2 linked regions of the Neurospora crassa OR74A genome follow. The protein of the gene in region 2 interacts with the protein of the main gene of each other region in a biochemical or structural test. Links are inferred from orthologs where the notes say so. Each region holds a gene or a part of one and is shown on either strand. Other genes may lie near its edges.

Region 1 (4,182 bases), about 2.9 Mb from region 2:
GATAAGGTGAAGAAGGCCGAATGATGCGGCGGTTGCGTATCGCTGAATGAAGAGATCAAGGTGAAATGAGGATGGTTTTCAGCATAACAAAGAAGGGAAAGCAGGAGGTAACGGCAGATCGGAGGAAGCGGAGGTGTACAGTAACTAATAAGGCGATCCGAAAGTGGTGACTCTTGAGTTAGGACGGGGATGGGGTTGTTGGGCGTTTCCTGGTCCGTCCCCCCGGCTCCCACGAATTCACCATTCATGGACGCACGGGATTACACCGGATGCTTGAAGGGGTCTCTTCCTTGCCTGCGTAGGGGACCCGAGGATTGACGGGTGGATGGAGTTCAGTTCAGTTGCATGTCTATGTAAGTCTGCACTTTCCTGCGCTTACAGTAAGTATACCGCTCTGCAATTCATGTTGTACTTTTACATAAAGTTCCTGAATCGTCCTTTGTCGTTATCGTAACTTCACACCGAGACACGCCGGATGACGGGAGCCCAGGCTGATCTGCTTCAGGGCTTAAGATGTTCAACCCCAGTTCCTCAGACAGTCACCGGCTACGCACGCTCTACTGTACTGTATAGAGAAAAATAGTGTATCGAGTCAAGCCAGCAATTTAACCTTTGGACTGCCGCAATTCAAACCCCAACTACGCAACCCTCTCCCTTCTCATTCATCATACGCCTCGCGATCCCTCATCAGCACCGCTTCATGGCCATGATGCGTTCAGACGGGCCCGAGCCAGGCAAGGATGTGTTAGCTAACACACGGGATGCAGGGTGGTGTATGGTGACCACAATAGCATATCATCGCCGCATCATTCGATCCAAACAGTGGAGAAACTGGTATCGGCCGTCTTCGGAATGACAACTCGATCCCTTATCGCGGTAGTGTACGTTGAGCCACAGAGAAGTGATGTTACGACGATGGGATCTGCCATATCTCTCAACCTTAATTACACCACGTCGGGTATTGCGATAGCATGCAAGACATATCAAACAAATAAGAGACGATTGTCAATAGTGTAGAGGTCAAGCCAGAGACAAGTTACGGGGGGAGGACGGCGGACGACAAGCCGACCTGGCCGTCAAGGTGACACTTCGTGACGCCTAGCAAGGGTACCCGTGTGGATGTGGGGTTGAGAAAGGCTGGAGTCGCTCAACTGCGATGGTGGCACCCAACTTGAAGTGGAGGTCGACCTGCATGGAGGGGGGAGCCACCGACAAGGCTCCCGCCGCTTCAGTTCAGTTCAGTCCAATCTGCACTGTCCGGCAGTCACCCCTTGACACTGTCCAACAGCCCCACTTGCAGCTGGAGCGTCTCTGGTGAAGTGCGACTTTTGGCTACAAAAAATGGAGCATCTGTCATCGATAAGTGTGGCACTTATACAAGCTATATTGTACAAAGCAGGCACCGTAGCTGTGCTTGGTAGTCCACTATAACTGCCAGAACGTGGTCATCCAGCCAATCACTGTGCTTATGGCAGCACCCGGCAACGCAGGCTCCAGATGAATGACGAGCCACAGCTAGCCCAGCTTGCTGTTACTAGCAACAGCGACCACTGCATCAGCGACTGCTAGCACCGACAACCTACTACTGACACGCGCCACAAGGCGAACCTCGACGACGACAACAGAACAACAAGAAATACCACCCGACCGATCCCCCAGACCCACGTCAATTACAATCGCGCATCTGAGCGCTCGCGATACAACACACGGAAACATATCGATCAAGCCATTTAATACCATCACAAGAAAACATCCGCCAAGATGGGCGACGTCCTTGTCGAGACCCCGGCCAGTGTGACCCAGCCTCAAAAGAAGTCCGCCCCTTCGGCGATCCCCAACATCGAGACCTTCGAGGGCGTGTCAACAGAGGGCGGCGATGACTACATTACCTTGAAGAAGCTTCAGAGGCAGCTAGAATACATCAAGCTGCAGGAGGAATACATCAAGGATGAGCAGAGGTATGGTCACAGAAGCTCCACGCGCTGAGAGCTTGATGAGGAGGGGCTGACAACATGGTATCTGGCAGGAGCTTGAAGCGTGAGCTTGTACGTGCCCAGGAGGAAATCAAGAGGATTCAAAGTGTCCCCTTGGTGATTGGACAGTTCATGGAAGCTATCGATCAAAAGTATGGCCGCCCAATGCAACCCCCCGTCTTCAAAACTGGCCCAGACTAACCCTTCCTCTCAGCACGGGTATCGTTCAATCCAGTACTGGCTCAAACTACGTCGTCCGTATCCTTTCGACTCTCGATCGCGAGCTCCTCAAGCCCTCATCCTCCGTAGCGCTCCACCGTCACTCTAATGCCGTCGTCGATATTTTGCCGCCCGAGGCTGACTCCTCGATTGCTATGCTCGGTGCCGACGAGAAGCCCGACGTTACATATGCCGATGTTGGAGGGTTGGATATGCAGAAGCAGGAAATTCGGGAAGCCGTTGAGCTGCCCCTAACACACTTTGATCTTTACAAGCAGATCGGCATTGACCCCCCGCGCGGTGTCCTTCTCTACGGTCCTCCCGGTACCGGCAAGACAATGTTGGTCAAGGCGGTCGCAAACTCGACGACAGCGAACTTTATCCGCGTCGTCGGTTCCGAGTTCGTACAAAAGTATCTCGGTGAGGGTCCTCGCATGGTGCGCGACGTCTTCCGCATGGCTCGTGAGAACGCGCCCGCCATCATCTTCATCGACGAAATTGATGCCATTGCGACCAAGCGTTTCGACGCGCAGACGGGTGCCGATCGTGAGGTGCAAAGAATTCTGCTCGAATTGCTCAACCAGATGGACGGTTTCGACCAGACCGCCAACGTCAAGGTGATCATGGCCACCAACCGTGCCGACACCCTCGATCCCGCCCTGCTGCGTCCCGGTCGTCTTGATCGCAAGATCGAGTTTCCCAACCTGCGCGATCGCCGCGAGCGCCGTCTCATCTTCACCACGATTGCTGGCAAGATGAGCTTGGCCCCTGAGGTCGACCTTGACAGCTTGATTGTCCGCAACGATCCTCTCAGCGGTGCCGTCATCGCTGCCATTATGCAGGAGGCCGGTCTGCGCGCAGTACGGAAGAACAGGTACAACATCATCCAGGCTGATTTGGAGGACGCCTACAGCAGCCAAGTGAAGGGTACGAGCGACGAGAACAAGTTTGATTTCTACAAGTAAACCATCGGCGTCATGGGCTAGCTGTGTTGGGGTCGAGGACCACGGAACATGTGGGAGATTGCATTTTGGGTGGGTTGGTGCTATGCTTCTTGCTGCCTTGGGAAAATATAGTTTGTGCCCCAGATCAGCAGGGACTATAGACTTTCATAGAAGCGAACCAATTTGTACACTAGCGAATAAATCTAGAGCGGTACCAACATATATATATATGTGCGTACCTCTCTGGAGTTGCTCCAACTGAAAAAGTAGTAACACCCAAACGAAAAGAAGCAAGATGCCCTGGCTCCCAGCTGATACTATTTACATGTTCAGATCAACTTGCTCGGCGAAATTGAGTTCTCAGTGCGCTTTCTTTCTCTCCAGGTCATGGTATGCCACCATTTATCTTGATACATATGTAGATACATCTACGGCTGTATGGTGGTTCTCCGTTCCCGAAACGCCGTAGCTATAGCAAATCCCATTTAAATGAAGGGAGGATATGTCGGAAAAATGTAATGTGCTTCAATATAGATTCTTGTCTACTGAAAAATGATAAGGTCGGCTTGGAGAACATTTCTTGTCAGGGGGGAGGGAGGGGAAGAGATGATAAGAAAGGGTAAGACACCGTATCTACAGCATGTCCTCCCTTATGGATGGCAAGAGAGGCCAGGGTCGGGTCGTACTTGGGTATTCCAGCGAGTAAAATCCGATAATACTATCCTACATACATATTGATAACAGGACCTTGAGTGGTTACCTCAAAATTTTAAGTACCACTCAGGGCGTCTACACTATGGTAGTTCCTAGATATCGTTGCCGTCACTTGACATTCATTAAAAAAAAAGTGAAGGAAAAAAAAAGGACTTATTGTTTAAACTTCAAAATAACCTCGATGCTATTTGAGGGGTAAAGGGTGTATATCCTCCATGTGACTATTTGTAACTACTACTTGTAACTACCTACTTGGGATTGTACCTAAGGTAGGTATCGTTGTAGTCAGTCTAACACACTCACTCAGTCCCCTCTCCCGCCGCTCACTAGTG
Region 2 (2,043 bases):
CGTCACGAGGAGCAGATGACCAAGTTCGGTGCCGCGCTTGCCCTCGGTATCATTGATGCCGGTGGCCGCAACTGCACCATTGGTCTTCAGACCCAGACGGGCAACCTCAACATGGCGGGCATTGTTGGCATGGCAGTGTTTACCCAGTACTGGTACTGGTTCCCCTTTACCCACTTTTTGTCTCTTAGCTTTGTGCCCACGTCCATCATTGGTCTCGACAGTGATCTGGCCATCCCCAACGTCAAGTTCCACTGCGCTACCCGTCCCAGCTTGTTCGACTACCCACCGGAGCAGGAGGTCAAGGTGGAGGAGGGACCCGCCTTGGTCACGACTGCGGTTCTGTCTACCACGGCGCAGGCCAAGCGCCGCGCCCAAAAGAAGGAGAAGGCGCAGCGTCGTGAGAGCATGGACATTGACACGCCGGCTGTTTCCAAGACAGCTTCCCAGCCTGCTGCCGAGGACAAGATGGATATCGACGACGATAAGAAGGCCGCCGCCAAGCCTGAAGAGTCCAAGGAGAAGAAGGAGGGTGAGTCTGGCGAGAAGGAGGCAACTGGCGCCACCGACGCCAAGAAGAAGGCGGAGAAGGAGAAGGTTGGCTACGAGATTGAGAACATGTCTCGTATTCTGCCTGGCCAGCTCAAGTACATAAGCTTCCCGGCTGGGCGTTATAAGCCAGTCAAGAAGGTGAGCTGCCCTGCATCACTTAATCTACCTAACTCATATCTTGTGTACTAACTAACTTTGCCTCCAGCCTACCGGTGGTCCCCTCCTCCTTTTCGATACCCAACCTTCGGAGGCCAAGTCCCTTGTAGAGGAAAAGCTCAACAAGGTAACCACGGAGCGCGCCCCCGTTGCCGGCGCCGGTGCTTCGGGTGCCAGCGATGGAACCCCCCGTCTCTCTGGCGGGGCGGCGCAATCGCTCCTTAGCCAGCTCCAAGGAACGGGCGCTTTCAACCGGTCCAGCATGCGGGAACTCAGCGAGCTGCTGCAGCTTGGCCAGCGTATGGAGCAGGATGCTTCTGCAGGACTCGGGGAGAGCAGAGCTCGCGGTGCTGGGGGTGCTGCGGCGGGAAGTGGAACTGGAGCTAGTGCTACGGCTGGCAGCGGTGCTGGTGCGGCTGCTGCTGCTGCGGTGTTGAATGCTGTCGATGAAGATGCCGAGGGTGATGAGGAGGCGCCGACGCCGGCGGAGTTTGAGTACTTTACTGATGCGGAGGCGGATGACGAAGAATAGAGGTCTAAGCGGAAGCCAAAGAAGTAGGAAATAGATGGTGGTGAAATGAAGGGTGAAGAGAATGAATAGACGGGCATTGAAATCTTGTCAGGGTGTTATGTGTCTGTGGCTGGTGCCATGGTGGTGAATGAAAGCGATGGAAAATGAGATGAACGGTCATGGTTTGATTGAAGGCCCAGGTGGTCTTTACACTAAGTTAAGCATATACAGTAGGAAGTATCTTGCATCAAGACCCATTATCAGCGATACTAGAAATCAGCGATCACACTACTCGGATTGTACATATTACTTGAGAACTGATCCATCCAGCAACATGTCGCGGTGTGAGATCCGTGTTTGGAAACAGTTGTCCAAACAGGAATCACACAAGTTACTATACTAACATATTTCGGAGCTATGCTGTGGTCCGTCGTTAAGAGTCTAATACCCGCCCTTGAATCACATGCAAGAGCCCTACAGCGGATTCCCCGGGGAGGGCGCGACGTCATCGACCAGTCCAGGTCCCTGTGGAACAACTTGGATTTCTTGGCAGCAATGACGACGTCGTTCAATCGTTTGTTTCCATGTGTTTTGTCTCTGGTCTTTTCTTTGAAGTTGATAGTCTGGTCTGGTCTGGTACCTCCTTCGTTACACATCTGAAACTGATAGAAGTTAGTATCTGGAATTCACTCCACTTTACATAGCAGTCTAGTCCTCCCCCCGATTTTTTCTTCATCCTTTCCTTTCATCCAGGCATTGCTTTCATCCTACACCACACTAGAATATTCAGTCCTGGTCTTTGTATCTACCCTCCAGTTAGTCGACAG

What was found. The genes of interacting proteins can lie anywhere in the genome.
Region 1: the proteins of rpn-2 (region 2) and rpt-3 are reported together in a solved structure, tested with the Saccharomyces cerevisiae proteins (2 studies listed by BioGRID, with this or other methods). The link is inferred for Neurospora crassa OR74A from reciprocal best matches to the Saccharomyces cerevisiae genes RPN2 and RPT3.

The regions. Positions count from the first base shown.
Region 1 is NC_026507.1:3,145,796-3,149,977, forward strand, and holds rpt-3 (26S protease regulatory subunit 6B), read left to right. Parts: upstream 1-1,377; 5' UTR 1,378-1,761; coding exon 1,762-1,958; intron 1,959-2,026; coding exon 2,027-2,125; intron 2,126-2,187; coding exon 2,188-3,157; 3' UTR 3,158-3,850; downstream 3,851-4,182. UniProt on the Saccharomyces cerevisiae protein: The 26S proteasome is involved in the ATP-dependent degradation of ubiquitinated proteins. The regulatory (or ATPase) complex confers ATP dependency and substrate specificity to the 26S complex.
Region 2 is NC_026507.1:236,614-238,656, forward strand, and holds the end of rpn-2 (26S proteasome regulatory subunit rpn2), read left to right. Parts: coding exon 1-687; intron 688-754; coding exon 755-1,237; 3' UTR 1,238-1,519; downstream 1,520-2,043. UniProt on the Saccharomyces cerevisiae protein: Acts as a regulatory subunit of the 26S proteasome which is involved in the ATP-dependent degradation of ubiquitinated proteins.